4 linked regions of the Arabidopsis thaliana genome follow. The protein of the gene in region 4 interacts with the protein of the main gene of each other region in a pairwise test. Each region holds a gene or a part of one and is shown on either strand. Other genes may lie near its edges. The genes, in order: SPL, ARF2, IAA2 and WSIP2.

Evidence for each region.
Region 1: the proteins of WSIP2 (region 4) and SPL interact in a two-hybrid assay, tested with the Arabidopsis thaliana proteins (2 studies listed by BioGRID).
Region 2: the proteins of WSIP2 (region 4) and ARF2 interact in a two-hybrid assay, tested with the Arabidopsis thaliana proteins (one study listed by BioGRID).
Region 3: the proteins of WSIP2 (region 4) and IAA2 interact in a two-hybrid assay, tested with the Arabidopsis thaliana proteins (one study listed by BioGRID).

Annotation. Positions count from the first base shown.
Region 1 is NC_003075.7:13,681,568-13,685,255, forward strand, and holds SPL (sporocyteless (SPL)), read right to left. Parts: upstream 2,028-3,688; 5' UTR 1,893-2,027; coding exon 1,362-1,892; intron 1,263-1,361; coding exon 1,029-1,262; intron 940-1,028; coding exon 760-939; 3' UTR 511-759; downstream 1-510. UniProt on the Arabidopsis thaliana protein: Transcriptional regulator of sporocyte development. Acts as an adapter-like transcriptional repressor recruiting TPL/TPR corepressors to inhibit TCP transcription factors. Required for nucellus and embryo sac development.
Region 2 is NC_003076.8:24,908,276-24,915,922, forward strand, and holds ARF2 (auxin response factor 2), read left to right. Parts: upstream 1-1,915; 5' UTR 1,916-2,335; exon of another isoform or gene 2,336-2,437; 5' UTR 2,438-2,583; coding exon 2,584-2,737; intron 2,738-2,827; coding exon 2,828-2,943; intron 2,944-3,068; coding exon 3,069-3,164; intron 3,165-3,248; coding exon 3,249-3,305; intron 3,306-3,399; coding exon 3,400-3,555; intron 3,556-3,657; coding exon 3,658-3,742; intron 3,743-3,836; coding exon 3,837-3,927; intron 3,928-4,006; coding exon 4,007-4,171; intron 4,172-4,305; coding exon 4,306-4,425; intron 4,426-4,518; coding exon 4,519-4,594; intron 4,595-4,670; coding exon 4,671-4,842; intron 4,843-4,938; coding exon 4,939-5,861; intron 5,862-5,952; coding exon 5,953-6,143; intron 6,144-6,227; coding exon 6,228-6,405; 3' UTR 6,406-6,445; intron 6,446-6,538; exon of another isoform or gene 6,539-6,541; coding exon of another isoform or gene 6,542-6,598; 3' UTR 6,599-7,120; downstream 7,121-7,647. Other genes in the region: AT5G61997 (uncharacterized protein), read right to left, coding at 1-109. UniProt on the Arabidopsis thaliana protein: Auxin response factors (ARFs) are transcriptional factors that bind specifically to the DNA sequence 5'-TGTCTC-3' found in the auxin-responsive promoter elements (AuxREs). Could act as transcriptional activator or repressor.
Region 3 is NC_003074.8:8,180,103-8,184,003, reverse strand, and holds IAA2 (indole-3-acetic acid inducible 2), read left to right. Parts: upstream 1-1,908; 5' UTR 1,909-2,057; coding exon 2,058-2,491; intron 2,492-2,583; coding exon 2,584-2,935; 3' UTR 2,936-3,358; downstream 3,359-3,901. UniProt on the Arabidopsis thaliana protein: Aux/IAA proteins are short-lived transcriptional factors that function as repressors of early auxin response genes at low auxin concentrations.
Region 4 is NC_003074.8:5,369,262-5,374,305, reverse strand, and holds the start of WSIP2 (WUS-interacting protein 2), read left to right. Parts: upstream 1-2,016; 5' UTR 2,017-2,141; exon of another isoform or gene 2,142-2,373; 5' UTR 2,374-2,436; coding exon 2,437-2,516; intron 2,517-2,686; coding exon 2,687-2,866; intron 2,867-2,955; coding exon 2,956-3,069; intron 3,070-3,180; coding exon 3,181-3,339; intron 3,340-3,423; coding exon 3,424-3,601; intron 3,602-3,686; coding exon 3,687-3,807; intron 3,808-4,330; coding exon 4,331-4,452; intron 4,453-4,534; coding exon 4,535-4,703; intron 4,704-4,852; coding exon 4,853-4,962; intron 4,963-5,044. UniProt on the Arabidopsis thaliana protein: Transcription corepressor of Zinc finger transcription factors GAF1/IDD2 and ENY/IDD1 in regulation of gibberellin homeostasis and signaling.

The sequences.
Region 1 (3,688 bases), on a different chromosome or scaffold from region 4:
TTTTGCATATCTGTTTTAATAAATTTAAACATCTAACTAATTTTAGCCGAACTAAAATCAATAAAAAAGCATCCCAAAAATAATTGATAAAATTTCATATTTTCTATAAATAAACAAAGCAAAATCAATCAACTTATAAAAAGAAGATAAACTCAAAATTCTCATTGGCCAATTTTTAAAGTAGTTTATACTGTACTAAATTTATAATTCTGATCCAAAACAAAACAGTACGTACCAAACACATGTATAAATTTTATAAATCGAAAACGAAGCTGTACATCCCATATGCTATGCAATGACATTAATTGGAAAAGCTATAAACAAGAGCAATTTGATACATTTATCTCACACCAGATAACAAGATTAATCAGATATGCATGACACCGTTTCGAAAACCGAGGATTAATTAGGTGATAACATGAATCATGACAGGATCATTGCCTAACTAAAGAAACACAAAATGGATACAAGCCCCAAGATCTGACACAACTTTAGAGAGAGAGAGGGAGAGAGAAGTTTCATGACAACAATTAAGGAAGAGAACAGAACATATATGTCTGAGTGTTTAGGTTAGAATCTCATAATAAACAACCAAAAGGGTAATCCAAAAGCTGAATCTTTCTTTCGACTCAGCTCTCAGATGCATACACCAAAAAAGGCTCTCTCTTTTTTTTCTTCTGTTTCTTACTTTCATCTACTTAAAATGTTTTTTCTTTAAAGAGACGATTTTGTTTAAATCAATATAGAAAGATAAAACATTTAAAGCTTCAAGGACAAATCAATGGTATTAGGACTGCAATCACCTACGAGTGACGACGTTTTAGCCACCACTGAAACTCTTTCACCATATTTCCCCGGAAAAAACTCGTACTCCTTCACACCTCCTGATCCATTTCTAGGGTTTCCTTCCATGTAGCTCCCAAATTCCTCCATTGGTCCCTAAACCCACCAGTTAAATCAAATAAGATCAACAGTTATATACATATATACCTATATATGAGTATTAATAAATGGACTATACTTAGTACCGTATGATTTGTTGCCTCGTTGAAATAAGGATTAATAGTAGTACTAGAAGCAGAAACTGAAGCTGCTCTAGCGATTCTATGATCATAAAGGAAACCTTGGCTCCTCTGATGATGATCTGATTGAAGAAGATACTGATCGTAGCCGTTCATCGGAGGAGGAATCATTGTGTATTTCGAAAATCCACCACCGTTGGATCGAACTACATTATTCTGATCACCATCCAAACGTTTCTTCTGCAGTTTTTTACATAAATAAAAATCAAAACTTTTTCAAGTGCAAAAACTATATATATATCAATCATGTTGATGAAAACGATTAAAAAACAAACAAACCTTGAAGCAAGTGTCACAGCGATTATTGGAAGAAGCGTTAAACATTTGAGGATTTGAGATTGAAGAGAGCTCATGAGTAGTGGAGGAGGTCTCAACAAAACCCCATGGAGAAATAACCGGGTCGATCATAACCTGACCCGACCCGACTCCACCACAATAGATCCTGTTGCTCCCGAGTGAGCTTGGGAAGCCTTGTAGCACAACACCCGGGTCTACCGGTACGGGTAAACGGGTAGCGTTGTTAGAGATCGATGCTACTGATGACGTGTCTCCGACTGTGGCGGCGGCGAGTTGCTTCTTTTCTTCTTCGATTCTCTGACGCTCGAGCTTTGCTACACCCATTCCTCTCAACGTTGGTTTCTTCTGTTTTTGCTGACCTGTCTTCGATCCTGGTTTCCGACCACGACTCTTCAGTGTCTCTGTCCGGATCTCGCCGGAGCTGTTGACGACAAGACGGGTGTTTCTCAGAAGATCGTTTGGGTTTCCGACGGAGTTTTGATCTGTTGACATGAAGAAGAGAGAAGTCGCCATTGATGATGATCTTCTTCTCGGAACTCTTTTTAGATAGAGAGAGAGAAGGGAAGAGGTAAAGACGAAAGCTTTAAGTGTGTGTGTTTTGTTTCTGCTCTCTTTTTGTGTGTGTGTATCTCTTTAGTGTTCATATACTAGCTCAGGCAAAGTACTTACCTGTGTTTTTATTTTCTGTTATTTCCAGGTACTATATGCGGATAAACGTATCTTTATTTCTTTTTTACTTTTTACCCCCTATAGTAGATTAAATTAAAGTATTTTTCAAAAAGATTAGTAAAGTATATCATAAATTCATAATACGTATTCTTATTTTATACTTTCTTAGTCTTATTAACCTTAGATGTTATAAATTCCCTTAGCACTTGCATGCATTTTTAACTTATGTGTGTATAGTCGTATAGATGTTCAATTTGTCAATATTAGTGGGTGTAAGTCAAGAGACGTTGAAAAAAATGCATTATTTGATGTTAATATGGTCATGAAAAGGAACAACTGAAATAAATAAAAAAGAGAGTTTGTAACTGAAAACTATGTTATATAGCATGAATGTATGATTTGATTGATGTTGTTATCCATGCATTGGATCGTGGAAGAAATTCAACATTATAGTATGATAGTTAGTTATCTTTGGTTCTGTCCATTAAATGGTATTTTTTATTCTTTCTATAATCTTCAATTACTCCTTAATTAATTAACCTACCTCTTAATATATAGAGTTTTGACTAAATAACTAGATATGGAATACTATGCTGTACATCTATAATACTAGTATCGGTGTAAAGAGTAAAGTGGGACGAATTCTCACTTTGCAACGAATATGATTAGTTTGTGAAACAGATCAAAGATATAATGATTTATAGTTTTTAAGAATTTAAAGGAGTAACAACAGAACAAGGTTTCAAATCCTTTATTTTCTTACATCTTTTGGGCGAAGAATGTAGAAAAAAAACAAAAACTCAAAGCTATTTATTTACTTGTTCCTGATAAAAAAAATCAGAGATTGTGATAATCCCTACCATGGAGACAGCAAATCGGAGATTGTCGCTACTCGCATAGGCTCAGTCGTGAGGTGAGAAACACTGTCCAATAGTAACAGCGCGTGCATCACATTGCAAAGAATATAGTACCCGCGGATCGAGGACAGGTGTCGGGACGTTAGACCATTCGCCGATTGTAGCGAGCAAGGTCTGGGACAACGTGATTTTACTCAGCTCATATCAACTAAAATAAGCAAGTCCAGTTACAGTCGCAGACTCGCAGTTATATGTATTTTTTTTTTCTTCAAAAACAAATTTTTATTTACTTTGACTAATGTGATATGTATATGAATATATGATAAATACGACGAGTAAGCTTAAAAACTCACTATACTTAGCTGACAAATAAAATACTAAATACAAAACGAAAATTAATATATTTGACATTTATTTGAAAAAGTTAGCTTTCGGTATTTGAAAAAAAAAATCGAGAGATAGTTATTGCTTCACATGAGAGGAGGACGAAAGCAAAAAGAATAGCATGAGAGACGTGAATTACGAGAAGGGTTTGGAGCTACGGAGTAGAGTAGAAATGATGGCTGCATCATATAAGGAAACATTTTAAAGCTGCCTCCATGTTAATCTTGGCTTCAGCCCAATACCTACTATTAGAAAATTTTAATTATCTTAATACAAAGTTTGTTTTATATGGATATTCTCAATACAAGTCTTAAGAGAAGCCCCACTGAAGTAATTATACATTACTATGTGTTGAGATTTCGTTTTTTTTTTATATAAATGAAGTAACCAGATGAGATG
Region 2 (7,647 bases), on a different chromosome or scaffold from region 4:
AGATTCCTACAATGGTTGCTTTTAGACCACACACAAATGCTACACAGTACTCTTGGGTCCCACACCTCTTAGCAAGTGCGTTACCAACACGTGAATTTCCTCTCCCCATTTTCTCGTCCTTTTCCTCTCAATATTGTATCGTCTCGTTTTCCTTGTCATATCGCGTGTGACGTGTTATTGGCTTATTGCTGAACAGTCTTCTTTTTTATTTTCCATCGTTATCCTGATTTTTTTTTTTTTCCAAATTTGATTTTCATGGTTTGTAATTTTGCAATAGATTTTGTGTTTCACAGAGAGATAGTTTACGTGTTGTTAAAAATAATTTGTGCAAAATAGTGTGCGTGTGTTAAATATTAAACGATATATAATAATTAGAAGAAAATAAAAAGTTTTGTCGCGATTAGTTATTTGATATTTACCTTGTTCTTTTGTTTATCGCTGCGACAAGCACCGACGGTATAAAATATAAAGAAAAAAAGAAAGAGAGATGAAGGTGAGATGAATGAAAGAGTCGCAGCGACAGATCTGAAGAGATAGGAGAAAGGGAATTTGAGACGCTGAAAATTCCAGCGTCTACGGAATGGCCGAATTACAGTCGATGCGGCAGAGATGAAAAAAATGAGAAATGAAAGTGAAAAAGAGATGAGAACTTTTTTTGGGTCGCAGGTAGCTGACGCAGCAATCAACAAAAGAACATGGCCAACGTTTTAGTAGATACTACTATAAAAGAAAAAGGTTGATTTAATTCATTCGTAATTTGGACTTAATTTTTTTTTAGGAACACTAATTAATCTTATTTGCCAGCTGTATGAGTGGACTACAATAAACTCTTGTCTATAAACCAGATTTTCTTCCTTTTTAACGCTTCCACTTACAACAATATATGTAAATATGTAATTATGACGGGGCATACGGAAATTTAATTTTTGAAGCAGATTCATCCCATTAGCCAGCTGTATTAAGTGGTAATCCAAGAGTTAATTTAGTTGTTCAGCAAATGATTTTAGATAAAATCAACTACTAGTTTAAAATAACTATCGAATGACTGTTAAGGCTTCGTATTTTTTGTTCTGCCATCAGGATATCATAAATATGGTTGAGGTTCGTATAATATTCGACGATCTTTTATATATCTGAGTTGTAATTGAATTAGAGAAAATAAAAAACAGATAATGAAACGTCTTTGTTTTTCCATAAAAAGAAAAACAGGGTAAATTAAAGTACGAGAGATTCACGAGACGAAAATTCCTAGAGGCGCACGATAGCCAAAAGACCATAGAAAATGACATCCGAAATATCTTTAAAATGCTAAAATGCACATATTTTTCTGGTGCCACGTAGCATTTTTCTCCCTCTCTCGTTCTCTCTACGTCCACCCAGACCTGCCTGTTCACAGCACGACAAAGCCACTTCCCAATAAAAACACAACACCTTTCCCATTGACGCTCTCTTTCCCAAACACCGTTATCCTCTTTACCCAATCAAAAGTTGACGCTTGCTCACGACTTGTTGACGCCGTTAGTCCCATCTAAAAAAGTAAAGCAGCCTTTCTTACTTGCTAATCCCCTCTACACATTTAATTTATTTTCTCCCCTAATGGATTTTTTTTGGCAACTTGAGTATTTATTTTTCAACTCACAGTAACTGTAAATAAATAAAAGTATTCAACTCACAGTCACCAGTAAATAAATACTACCAGACCATAGTTTTTTCAAGAATTGTTTTGGTCAACAATTTTAGGATGACTTAAATTGCTATATTTCTGGGGAAATACGACTTGGAAATGTCTGCAATTTGGGTCTTTTCTTCAATTTATCTTCTCCAATTTGTTTTTTAAAAAATTAAATTTTAGAAAAGGATATGTCAATTTTTTCTATTGAAAAGGCTTTATTAAAAAATAAGAAAAAGTGGAGGAAAGAAAATAAAATCGTCACTTGTCTTTGGTTTTGTGAGGTCGCAGACCCTGGTCCCCCGGAAATGGTTACAACCGGTAATAGCCGGTATGAAAGAGGGAATGGTAACCGGTGAATGCCGGTTATCCATATGGGTTAGAAGTTTACCGCGGTTGAAATGATTGAAGCTGAGTTTTGACTACCTCTGGTTAAGCCCATTGGTCGCCTCATACCCAGAAAAACAAAAGGATAGGAAAGACGAAGAAATAAAAAGAGAGAGAATGTTAGAGAGACAAACTCTGAGAGACAAAACAAGAGAAAATCGCTCGTCGTCGGTATTCAAGCGTCTGTGACTCCGATAAAGCCTAGACTAGCGAGGACGGCGAGAGAGAGAGAGAGAGAGCTTTGGAGTTGTCGTATCTCTAAATCGGAGGCAATTTGAGGTGAAATTGGTGGTTTTATCGTTTGATTCTAGGGTTTATCTTCTCTGATAGTTTTATCGAGTAATGTCAAGGAGCTAAACTAGTGGTGATTGTGTTTGTTAGTGAGATAAAGACAAAGGAAGGAATCAAGTGGACTACCGAAGCGAGTTTTGAGCTTTTTCAGAGACGGATTTGGAGATTTCTTGTTGATATCGTCTGCTTAGAGGCTTATTTGGTACCAGATGAAACAGATCTGAGCTTCGGAAGGTATGGCGAGTTCGGAGGTTTCAATGAAAGGTAATCGTGGAGGAGATAACTTCTCCTCCTCTGGTTTTAGTGACCCTAAGGAGACTAGAAATGTCTCCGTCGCCGGCGAGGGGCAAAAAAGTAATTCTACCCGATCCGCTGCGGCTGAGCGTGCTTGTAAGTCTCCGTTTCTTAGGGTTTCTTAAGCTTGGTTTTGGTTACAGACTGACTTGATCTAATTTATCTTCTTCTTCTTCGTCTTCATAGTGGACCCTGAGGCTGCTCTTTACAGAGAGCTATGGCACGCTTGTGCTGGTCCGCTTGTGACGGTTCCTAGACAAGACGACCGAGTCTTCTATTTTCCTCAAGGACACATCGAGCAGGTGAGATATTTCATCTATGAGTTCTTGCTATTTTTGGCTAAATCTTTGAGTTAACCCCTCTGTGATTCGTACCTGTTGAGATATTTTCTAATGAACTTTGTCGGTTTCCATTGTTTTATGATTAGGTGGAGGCTTCGACGAACCAGGCGGCAGAACAACAGATGCCTCTCTATGATCTTCCGTCAAAGCTTCTCTGTCGAGTTATTAATGTAGATTTAAAGGTAGGTTTCTTTAACTTCTTGGAAAATTTTGGTTTCTGTGTCTTGGATTGTCAGCTAACAAGAGTTTTGTTTATGATTTTACAGGCAGAGGCAGATACAGATGAAGTTTATGCGCAGATTACTCTTCTTCCTGAGGCTAATGTAAGTTTTGTTTTCTGATTTATTGGTTTGAGTGTTGTAGAGGTGATCTTATTCTTCAAGATGCTGAATTCTATATATTTTTTGTTCCATACAGCAAGACGAGAATGCAATTGAGAAAGAAGCGCCTCTTCCTCCACCTCCGAGGTTCCAGGTGCATTCGTTCTGCAAAACCTTGACTGCATCCGACACAAGTACACATGGTGGATTTTCTGTTCTTAGGCGACATGCGGATGAATGTCTCCCACCTCTGGTTGGTGTTTCATTTGCGCTTCTAACTATCTATTCATTGGCTTATTTTTCCTGAATTTTGTTCTAAGATTGCCTTCAATTCATTTTTTGTTTCTTCCCTCAGGATATGTCTCGACAGCCTCCCACTCAAGAGTTAGTTGCAAAGGATTTGCATGCAAATGAGTGGCGATTCAGACATATATTCCGGGGTATAGGAATCTGTAACTTTTTTATTTTCTGTTTTTCTCGAGTCTGTGTGTCATCAAACTTATCTGGTTGTTGATGTTTGTGATAATGGACCAGGTCAACCACGGAGGCATTTGCTACAGAGTGGGTGGAGTGTGTTTGTTAGCTCCAAAAGGCTAGTTGCAGGCGATGCGTTTATATTTCTAAGGTTTGTGGATTTTAGTTCATTGTTTTCTTTAGCTGTATCTGTTAGTTTCTATAATGTGGAATATCTTAATCTTCTACAGGGGCGAGAATGGAGAATTAAGAGTTGGTGTAAGGCGTGCGATGCGACAACAAGGAAACGTGCCGTCTTCTGTTATATCTAGCCATAGCATGCATCTTGGAGTACTGGCCACCGCATGGCATGCCATTTCAACAGGGACTATGTTTACAGTCTACTACAAACCCAGGTTTGTATTTGTATTAGCTCACAAAACAGCTTTCAGTTTTTTGAGCTCTTTGCTTTGTATGTCTCTATATGTCTGATGCTTGGTAGTGAATCACTCTACTAAATTTTCATGCGGTGTTGTTTTGTTTAATACAGGACGAGCCCATCTGAGTTTATTGTTCCGTTCGATCAGTATATGGAGTCTGTTAAGAATAACTACTCTATTGGCATGAGATTCAAAATGAGATTTGAAGGCGAAGAGGCTCCTGAGCAGAGGTAAAACCTGTCTTCTGCTTTTGAAATATGTTAGCTCTTGAGCCTTTTTCTCTTGGAATAACGAACCTAACAAGTTGTATTGATTTATATTAGGTTTACTGGCACAATCGTTGGGATTGAAGAGTCTGATCCTACTAGGTGGCCAAAATCAAAGTGGAGATCCCTCAAGGTATGACCTAGTTTCTAGAGAGGATCAAGACTATTGTTTGAATATAATGAATGCTGATTGTTCAATTGTCTTTCAGGTGAGATGGGATGAGACTTCTAGTATTCCTCGACCTGATAGAGTATCTCCGTGGAAAGTAGAGCCAGCTCTTGCTCCTCCTGCTTTGAGTCCTGTTCCAATGCCTAGGCCTAAGAGGCCCAGATCAAATATAGCACCTTCATCTCCTGACTCTTCGATGCTTACCAGAGAAGGTAATGTCTTCCCCTTCCACTGTAGTACACATAGTAGTGCGTCTGAAACTTAATTGAACTTGTCAGTGGGAGTCTAATTCATTGTACACAAAACAGGTACAACTAAGGCAAACATGGACCCTTTACCAGCAAGCGGACTTTCAAGGGTCTTGCAAGGTCAAGAATACTCGACCTTGAGGACGAAACATACTGAGAGTGTAGAGTGTGATGCTCCTGAGAATTCTGTTGTCTGGCAATCTTCAGCGGATGATGATAAGGTTGACGTGGTTTCGGGTTCTAGAAGATATGGATCTGAGAACTGGATGTCCTCAGCCAGGCATGAACCTACTTACACAGATTTGCTCTCCGGCTTTGGGACTAACATAGATCCATCCCATGGTCAGCGGATACCTTTTTATGACCATTCATCATCACCTTCTATGCCTGCAAAGAGAATCTTGAGTGATTCAGAAGGCAAGTTCGATTATCTTGCTAACCAGTGGCAGATGATACACTCTGGTCTCTCCCTGAAGTTACATGAATCTCCTAAGGTACCTGCAGCAACTGATGCGTCTCTCCAAGGGCGATGCAATGTTAAATACAGCGAATATCCTGTTCTTAATGGTCTATCGACTGAGAATGCTGGTGGTAACTGGCCAATACGTCCACGTGCTTTGAATTATTATGAGGAAGTGGTCAATGCTCAAGCGCAAGCTCAGGCTAGGGAGCAAGTAACAAAACAACCCTTCACGATACAAGAGGAGACAGCAAAGTCAAGAGAAGGGAACTGCAGGCTCTTTGGCATTCCTCTGACCAACAACATGAATGGGACAGACTCAACCATGTCTCAGAGAAACAACTTGAATGATGCTGCGGGGCTTACACAGATAGCATCACCAAAGGTTCAGGACCTTTCAGATCAGTCAAAAGGGTCAAAATCAACAAACGATCATCGTGAACAGGGAAGACCATTCCAGACTAATAATCCTCATCCGAAGGATGCTCAAACGAAAACCAACTCAAGTAGGAGTTGCACAAAGGTAAATTTTTGCAATATGTAGCACAAAGTGTATGAGGTTGTGATAACCCTTGAATCACTTTTCAACTAACACATGACACATTGATGTAAAGGTTCACAAGCAGGGAATTGCACTTGGCCGTTCAGTGGATCTTTCAAAGTTCCAAAACTATGAGGAGTTAGTCGCTGAGCTGGACAGGCTGTTTGAGTTCAATGGAGAGTTGATGGCTCCTAAGAAAGATTGGTTGATAGTTTACACAGATGAAGAGAATGATATGATGCTTGTTGGTGACGATCCTTGGCAGTAAGATTTTGCAAATTTTCCATCTTAGTTTATATCGATGTTAGTGTTTTTCTTATAACACTGACACAATGATCTCTCTTGCAGGGAGTTTTGTTGCATGGTTCGCAAAATCTTCATATACACGAAAGAGGAAGTGAGGAAGATGAACCCGGGGACTTTAAGCTGTAGGAGCGAGGAAGAAGCAGTTGTTGGGGAAGGATCAGATGCAAAGGACGCCAAGTCTGCATCAAATCCTTCATTGTCCAGCGCTGGGAACTCTTAAACAAACAAAATAACCAACAACCCTTTTGCTGCAAGCCGAGGTATGTAAAAGCTTTTGAGATATTAGTAGACTAGAGACACAGCCAAAAGTTTATGTCATTACATTCGACTGATGTTTGTTCTGTTAATGACAGCAGGATGGGGGTCGATTGGTGGAGACTGGAGAGCAAAATGGGATGATGGGTTTAAGATAAGATATTAAAAATGCAATTTTTGAAGTATTTTGTTGGCCACTTAGATAATTAGCATCTTCCATCACCCTTATTATCTATCTAATAATAATTAATAGATATTATAAAGTAAAACATAAAAAGGTTACAGGTATTATATAGTAGAATATGAAAAGCTCTTTTATAAGTAGAATATGATGGTGTGGAGTTGTAGTCGGAGGCTGGTATCGGTTCTTTTTATGGATGTATTTTTTTCCTTCTTCCAAAGATCTCTTGAAGTCTTTTTATTGTTTATATTAATCCCAATGTACATAAGTTTTCAAGCTCTTGCCCTTTTTTAATTATCTTGTCGATTCACATTTTCTCAACTTATTCTCTTGCTGACTTTTGGTTTTGGTCTGGTCTTGTCGGTATTTTGCAGCTTTTCGTATTAGACGGTGATATAGATATATTCACGAAACTGTAAGACCTCTTAACAAACGGATTCCATTTCGAATCCTTACATTAAATAAATTCGGATGTTTCTAGCTACAATCTGAAAATTAAGCTTGCAATGAGCAAAACAGTGAGCCCTCTTTTTAAAGTACTTTGAAAAAAAAACTGGATGCTAAAATTTGTTGTTTCCCTTGTAACAATGAGGAAAACAAGGTTTGGGTTTTCAAGTTTATTTCTCTAGCTATGCTCATGTCCATATAAACGAATCCGCTGAAAAACAGAAAGATGACACCATGGCAAACACATGATCAAAGTTTCGTGATCTATGGTTTCATTCTATCATATGGCTCTTCATAACCAAACTTGTATTTAGGTAGAACTCTATCTAAATCAAGACTTTAAACCATATGAAACACACAACACCGGCAACTCTGGCATACTACCGCCTTAAGCCGACAATCTCAATCGTCACAGAAACACAACAAACATTTTATCAAACTTGCTGAGTTTATGGAAAAACTTTCAATTGTATCAGTTTATGCCATTATCTTACAACAATACAAAACTGCATAGTTAAATAAGTGGTTCTCTAGCTCCTTGTAATTCTACCATCGACACATATAGTGATAGGTCTGATA
Region 3 (3,901 bases), 2.8 Mb from region 4:
CATATATGACATACTTTTTTTTTTTGAATAAACGAGAAATTAAAGTAGAAAATAATTAACATTTTTACCATGATAATTAAAACACGGTTAATATTTCTAACCAAAAAAAATTAAGAATCTATTAGCTAGTTCATATAGTTATTCACGTACCTCTTCAAGATATGTACGTTAAAATTGTCATCAGAATCTGTAGTCCTTGTAGAGTAAAAAATATCAAATATTAACATAAAAGAACAAACAACTGTTGATTCAGTACATAAATTAATACATTAAATTGACCACAGAGACCAAAATAATCTAAAAATGATTTATGTATTTGGCTTAAGTTCAATATTGTTTTTTAGGCAAAACTTAATGTTCAATATATATTCATGGAATTAACTCCATAATAAACAGTAACTGAATTCTCTTGTACTTTCTTAAATGGTTTTCAGTAAAAAGGTTTAGTTTAACCAACAAATAACTTTAGCAATCATCTATATAAGCATAAAGCATCACATAGATCTAGTAGTTATGTTTCTATAATACATTTTCACTAAGACTAAAACATGCATGAACACACAAACAGGAAAAAACTATTCTCAAGAAGTTTGTTTCCCACCATGTTAAGTGATTCTAGAAATCTGTAAATGGTTAACCTTTAGTATTCATTCGTGCAATATTTAACAGACAAATGGTATTCATTCGTGCATCTCTCAGTTTGTGAGAAAATACATTGCATGAGTTCGTTATTAACTGGAAATAATACATAAAACTCTGACAATCAGAACCTCTAAATTATTTACTTATAAGAAGAGAGGCAACGTATCTTGCATCGCTTTTACTTATCTAATCTTTTGGTGATGGAAGGGGCAAGAACATAGAAGGAATCTTTATCTTAAAAGAAGAGAAAACAAATAATATCCAAAATTGGTAAATCCATTGAATAAAGCCTAACGTTAACATCAAATCGCATGCGGATTAGAAGCTAAATGCACATAGTTAAGCGTAATCTATGGGGAGAAATTAATTACCACTTTTTGGTTCATTCTTTTAAGTTTTATGATTCAATGAATACATAGCACGTGGAACCTCTCTCCCCCACAACCCATTTTGAAGGGAAATGAATAATTAAAAGAGACATACACATAAGAAAGCACATGGCTTTACCATTCCTCTATCAATTACCAACACATTTGACCCTTATCCACATGGGTCTTCGTCTCCTATTATAAAATCAAAATCTACACACAAAATGTTATAACATTTTCCAACTCACAATATACAAAATGCCACGCATAAATATGTCTTCGCAAGACAAATATGTAACGTTTAATATTCGATATTATCTGAGATTTAACCATAAAACTAATATTTCTTTATTAATCAAATTACATCTACGAGCAAAAATGATAAAATTCAACTTATGCACATTCAATAGTTCGTAACACATAAGAGTACTTGGAAACTCTAAATAATCTTCATTTTGGAATCAGGATTCAATAAAATAGTACTTTATTTGACATAAGTGTCCTTTTAACCATTTTTTACACCATACGTTTTTTCTTCTGAATCGAAATTTTTACATCATACTTTCAAAACATCTATTAATCTTTTAAGTTAAAAATTAATAAATCAATAGAAGTAAACTAAAAATAATAATCAACTTTCACATCAAATTTTAAGACAACACATTATATTTAAATATATATTAAGAATATCTATTATGCAACAAATGGATTAACAATCATTAGCACTTGATATTTTCTTTATAACCTGCACTATACACTTTCAAAAAGAGAAGAAGAAACCTTTAAGAAACAGTAAATAAATGTTATTATAATACACCTCTTTAGTCTTTACTTTATTTATATTTTCTCTGTTTGCTTTTATTCCGGGTCGGCCGATAGAATTCTCATCATTTCATTCATTTTTATATTCTTTCGTTATAATTATTATACATCCTTTGAAAGAAAAAGAAGAGGCAATAGAGATGGACGGCTAAGATGTTAACGTAAACAAAGTTGGCGGAGGGAAAAGAGGAGCGTGGAATAATTAAACAAAAGAGTCGTGTCCACATGGGCGGCCTCAAGCTTCGTGTCCCACTTTTGTCCCCTTGCCTCTTTCTTGCCTTTCATGCTTCCGACAACACTTCTCTCTCTTCCTTTAACCCTAACTTCGATGCTCCTTTATATATATCTCTCTCCCCTTTTCTCCAAAACTCATCAACCAGCTCACCAAGAACAAGAACAAGAAGAAGAAGAACAAGACAAGAAGAACAAAGTACCCAAGAAAACACACAAGAAGGAAACACAAAGATTGATATTGATCCAAAAGCAATGGCGTACGAGAAAGTCAACGAGCTTAACCTTAAGGACACAGAGCTATGTCTTGGATTACCCGGAAGAACAGAGAAGATCAAAGAAGAACAAGAGGTTTCTTGCGTTAAAAGTAACAACAAGCGTCTATTTGAGGAAACTCGTGATGAAGAAGAATCTACACCTCCTACCAAGTAAGTAGAAGAGATCTGAGTTTCAAATTGGCTTCTTTCAAATTATTGGCTCTTGAATAGTTTTACTAATCTTTCTTTCCTCAAATTTACAGAACTCAAATCGTTGGTTGGCCACCAGTGAGATCTTCCCGTAAGAACAACAACAGTGTGAGCTACGTGAAAGTGAGTATGGACGGAGCTCCTTACCTTCGCAAGATCGATCTCAAGACATACAAAAACTACCCCGAGCTTCTCAAAGCGTTAGAGAATATGTTCAAAGTCATGATTGGTGAATATTGTGAGAGAGAAGGATACAAAGGATCTGGATTTGTACCAACATACGAAGATAAAGATGGTGACTGGATGTTGGTTGGTGATGTTCCATGGGACATGTTCTCTTCTTCTTGTAAGAGACTCAGAATCATGAAGGGATCCGACGCTCCTGCTCTAGACTCTTCCTTATGATCCAGAGAAGCTGAGAATCTTTTGTCTAAAAAGGAGATGATGACTATGATCGATGAATGAAAAACCCTTTTTGGTTTGATTCGGATCGGAGTTTGACTAAAGTTGACCGTGAAAGACGAAACTTCGGGGTTTTGTCCGACGAGAGATCCATCTCTAGTGATGTTCTTTTTGTTTTTGTATTTAGATTTGAAGTTTGATGTAAAGATACATGAGATTTTATGTATAATACGGACACATACACAATCTATAGATGTATAATGTATTAAGTAGTTATGTCCTATAAGATCATCAGTTTTCTGTTCTTGATCACGAACATAATATTTTAAATTTCAGAAACTTATACACATTTGTTTAGCCAAGGTTATTTATTAACTTTTTTTTTTGTTTAAAGTTTAACCAAGGTTATTATTTACTTATTCAGCAAAACATTTACCACCACATGAGACAAATTTTCTATAATGCCTTCCCAAAACACATCCACAATTCTATAGATAGGCCTTGTCGATCAAAAGATTTCAAAAACAATTTTTCTTTTTGATGAATTGTAAATGACTCTGTCTCTTCAGCTTATTAGATGTTTTAGCTAAACTGCAAGAATTATTATGTAATAATTTTGTTATATTAAAAACAGAAATTAATATCTAACCTAAACAATTCAACCAATTGTAAAAAAATATTACATAATAATATAAGTCTGATAACATATGAAATTGAAAAACACAATTTAATATAATAAAACTGAGAAAATAATATTAGTTTTTCTAGGGTAAAGGTTATTAATATTACATAAAAACATAATAATATTAATAAAACACAATTTAAGATTATAGATTTTTAGACTACAAAAGGGCTCATGGGAAGTTCTCGAACCGGAACTGAACCAAAATACCGAACGCCAATGACTAGTTTTCAAGTATGTTTTTTTCATTATGTGAACCAAGTAATAAAAAATCATTTCTCTTCTAA
Region 4 (5,044 bases):
AGTTTAATAGAACAAGTCTGAGTAGCTCTAATTTCGTCTCGATGTGAGATTGATAAACAGAGAGAGAGAGAGACAGAAGTACAAGTAGACTATTTATTTTGTTCTTTTTTATTATTTTTGCACACTTTTTTTTTTTTTTGCTCGCATAAAATAAACAAATTTTAAAAATATATATATAGTATTAAAAAAGAAGCTGATATGGAAAAGTCATAAACAATAAATAAAACTTTAACCAAAAGAAGAATAAAATTTTTGAACGTTAGTATCCGTTGTATAAAAGTGTATATATTAAGTTCCAACTGTATTTTTTTCTCATATCTATTTATTTATTTTTCCTTTTTATTATATGTGTCGTTTTAAAGTTTTTGTTTTACTCTTCTGTAATGTATTATACAGAAATAACATAATTATAAATAAGCTGGATTTTACCAATTATTTAATATAAAACGGAAAGGGTATGTTGTTGAAGATACTTGATGTTTTAAAATTTGAAGTTGTTGTAGTCATTGTTAAGGGTCGGCTGATGAGTCAGGACAACTCATTGAAACCATTTATTCGATGTTTCAAATATTAAACAAATAGACAGAAGATTCTACTATCTTCTTCAAAAATATAATATTAAACACAAGTCTTTGTTTCTTTGCTAGCTCTAGTTACAGAAATTTTGAATTAAAGCTATGAAAATAACTTTACGTTTAGTAAATTGCTAAAATATTCAGAGCGATCAGAAAGGAATGTTTGCTCTCTCATCTTAAAATTATATATTTGAGGTGATGCTTCTTCACCAACATGGGCAGATGGGCTTATGGAACCATTTGCTGATTAATTGCAGTCATTGATAACTGTCTGGGTGTGTCATTGTCATCAAAGTGATTGTTCAAGGAAAACATGTTTGGGACGAAATTGATTCCCAATCATGTTTAGCAATTGGGCCAGTCAATTCCCCCGATAATCTAGACCTAAAAGCCCAAACCAATGTAAGCAATACTGGTGTAGGAATACTTGTAAGAAGATTTGATATGACTCCTACTAGAACCATAATGTGGATGGACTGTTGAAGTAGCATAGTAATTACTAGCCAAAACATCCATGGGAAAAAAAATAAAGTACAAATATAAATTTTGATTTTTTTTTTTTTTATAAATAGAACAAAACTAAACATGTGAATAGGCCATATCTCTTAAATTCCTAACAAATTAGCATAATATATTCACGGAAATGCGTTACAAACCGTATTATAGAATAAAACTCCACTTTTTACTGTGAATTACTATAACAAAAAAGAAAGAATACACATTTGTAAAATTCACTTATTTGTTACCACATAAGATTTATATTTTTCCAAAAGTAAATTATCCATAAAACCTTTAATTTGTTTTTTTGACAATAAAAGATGAAGAAAATAAAATTTAATTAATTTGCGTACTACATAACTGGAAATAAAAATATCACATCTGATTTACTGCTATTCTTCTCTAAATTAAAAACTTCAAAATCCATTACTTAAATAATTAATTCATAAAAAAAATATTTGCAATATTAATTGACGGTTAGTTGATGTCATAAAAATAATATAATGGCACTAAATTCTATACAGAAACAGAAATAAACCAATTATGAGATACTCTACTTTAATGTATAGTTTGAAAAACAAAAAAAAATCCCCAGCTACGTTCAAAACCTAACGAGAGAGCATTAAATTAGACAGCAGTGTTGTACTAGATTCGCAACAACATCAATACGTCACTTAAATTAAAATAAAATACGAAAACATTAAATTAAAATAAATTTTAGAAAAAGTAATTAAAACGAAGGTTACTTATTATAGTGGGGAGATTAAGCTTTTTGAGTAAATTCCTATCTACAAAATACACGCTTCTATTAAAAAAAATAGAAGCCCAACGACCACACAAAAACAAATTAATTAAATCATAAAAACTCATAAATTAAAATAAAAAGCAATAAATCCAAAAAAAAAAAAAGGAAACTCCGAAAACGAGACAGCATCAGAAATTATCGCCATAAATAGCCCCCACGTCTCTCTCTCTCTCTTCTCCAAAGTCTTCTTCTTCTTCTTCTTCTTCTTCCTCTTCTTCCTCTCTGCTTTGTCTCTCTCCTTCTTCAAAGTCAAAATTCAACAGGTATTTATATTTATAAACTTTCCTTTTTTTCTTTAATCTCTTTCTCGGGAGCCTCTCTCGTATATTCTCGCACGTGCACATCTCGTGCCACCTGGGTTTGGGGGGATTCGTCTTTCGAATTCGATCGATTTCGTTTTTTTTTTTAGATCTGTCTTTCCTTTTTTGGGGTGTGAAGAAGATGTTTTCTTTTATAAAACCCTAATTCTCTCTTTGTGTCTTTGTGTTTGATTAGTGGTTCATGAGTGGTATTGTGATCGATCTGTTACTTTCGGAGAGCGAGCAATAAGAAGAGGATATGTCGTCACTCAGCAGAGAACTCGTGTTTTTAATACTTCAGTTTCTCGATGAAGAGAAATTCAAAGATACTGTTCACAGGTAATTTATATTATATCATTGTTTAATTGCGGTCCCTCTTCCTTTGATTGTCGGGATTAGAGTAAAGTAGGGATTAAGATTAATTAATTTTGATTTTGTAATTTAGCATTATTTCTTCAATGTTAATCCAGAAGCAGTTACAACTTTGGATATTTTTTTTGACTAATTAGGTTGGAGAAAGAGTCTGGTTTTTTCTTCAACATGAGGTACTTTGAAGATAGTGTAACAGCTGGTGAATGGGATGATGTAGAGAAGTATCTTTCTGGATTCACTAAAGTTGATGATAATAGATACTCTATGAAAATATTTTTCGAGATTCGGAAGCAGAAGTACCTTGAAGCACTTGACAAGTAAAGTTTCACTTGTGTTGTTTAGTTTTATTGAATTGAAGTGTGGTTTTGAGTATTGATTTGTTTTCCCATCTTTTGTTTTACCATAGGAAAGATCATGCCAAGGCGGTTGATATTCTTGTTAAGGAGTTGAAAGTGTTCTCGACATTCAACGAAGAGCTTTTTAAGGAGATTACCATGCTTTTAACCTTGACTAACTTCAGGTACATTCTTTACTTTCTTAGCACTTTTTTTTTATGGTTTCATTGACCACTGGATTGTTATAAACCATGCGCTTGTGGTGTTGATGTTTCATTTACTTGCAATAATTCAAGGGAAAATGAGCAGCTTTCCAAGTATGGAGATACTAAGTCCGCAAGAGGTATCATGCTTGGGGAACTTAAAAAACTGATTGAAGCAAATCCTCTCTTCCGAGACAAACTTCAATTTCCCAGTTTGAAGAATTCTAGATTGAGAACCTTAATAAATCAAAGGTACAAGCTTTGTTTTTTTAACTTTTGCTCCCGTTTTTCTTTTGGTGGAACAACTAACTGAACGTTGCTTCTGCTGAATCATAGTTTGAACTGGCAACATCAGCTTTGCAAGAATCCTAGGCCTAACCCGGATATAAAAACACTATTTGTTGACCATACGTGTGGGCATCCCAATGGTGCACACACTCCTTCCCCTACAACTAATCATTTAATGGGTTCAGTCCCTAAAGTTGGAGGCTTCCCACCATTAGGTGCTCACGGTGTAAGTTGCTCTAAGATTACAGCTTCTGTTGGATTAGTTTTTAGCACATGAATTTAACTTTGCTAGTTTGTATGCTCTTGTTCAGCCATTTCAGCCAACACCAGCTCCTCTTACAACATCTCTTGCAGGATGGATGCCTAATCCATCGGTACAACACCCTACTGTTTCCGCTGGGCCTATCGGCTTAGGTGCCCCCAACAGTGCTGGTAATGTTGTCCCTACTAATTTTATTCTTCTGAAATATGTGTGTTGGAGATTTAGTTTACCAAATATTAGCTTATACGGTTATGTAATTTGCCATCCCTTGTTTAGATCATCATTAGTTGGATGGTTATCTGTGCTTCTTTGACTGACTGAACTGCATGAAATGATATAAATATATTTACTGAGTTACATTTTCCAGAGCTGTAGTGGTAAACTGTCTCTCTTTTCTTTTACGGACTAAAGCAGTTTTTAGTGGTAAACTGTCTCTATGGTGGATTAGAGAGAGAGAGAGAACTATATGCTCATATCAGCCGTTTTGTTTAATTTCACAATACTCTTGTTTATAGATAATAGATAGAGAAGCAAACATTTAATTTAATGTCAGATAGCCTTGAAGTGCTGTCTTAGGTCTGAAACTTTTATTTATTTCATTTTTTGTAGTCCATAACGTGGAGATCAGTTTGTGTGTGTTTACCAATTGCATAGCTTACCATAATCTATTTATTCTTCTTTTTTTCCTTGCAGTGTCTATGTTAAAGCGTGAGCGTCCCAGGAGTCCTCCAACTAATAGCCTATCAATGGATTATCAGACGGCAGATTCTGAAAGTGTGTTGAAGAGACCCAGACCTTTTGGTATTTCAGATGGGGTATTAACGGCTGCTTGTTCGTTTTTCAGCTTAAGTTCTCAACTTTTCTTAGAAGTCACAACTTTCTTTGAACATTTTACAGGTTAATAATCTTCCAGTCAATGTCTTGCCAGTCACATATCCAGGGCAAAGCCATGCTCATGCAACTTATTCTACTGATGACTTGCCCAAAAACGTTAGCAGGATTTTGAGTCAGGGTTCTGCCATTAAGAGCATGGATTTTCATCCAGTACAGCAAACTATGCTCCTTGGTTGGTTTTCTCCTCTGAAGCACGCATCATTCTTCTGTTTTATTCTGGTTTATGCCAGAGAAACCTGCAAAACTTGTATCAGACAGCATAACTTTCATCTTCTCAGTACAATCTGCTTACTTTATCTTGGATTTACATTTGTTTCCTAGTTGGCACCAATCTTGGTGATATTGCAATATGGGAGGTGGGTAGCAGGGAGAAGCTCGTTTCTAGAAGCTTTAAAGTTTGGGATCTTGCTACTTGCACTGTGAACCTTCAGGTATAGTTCCTCTTTATTGATCTACTGTAACAGTCGAATGAGGTGGGAGATTTGTTGTTAGTTAGTTAAAACTATACAGAGG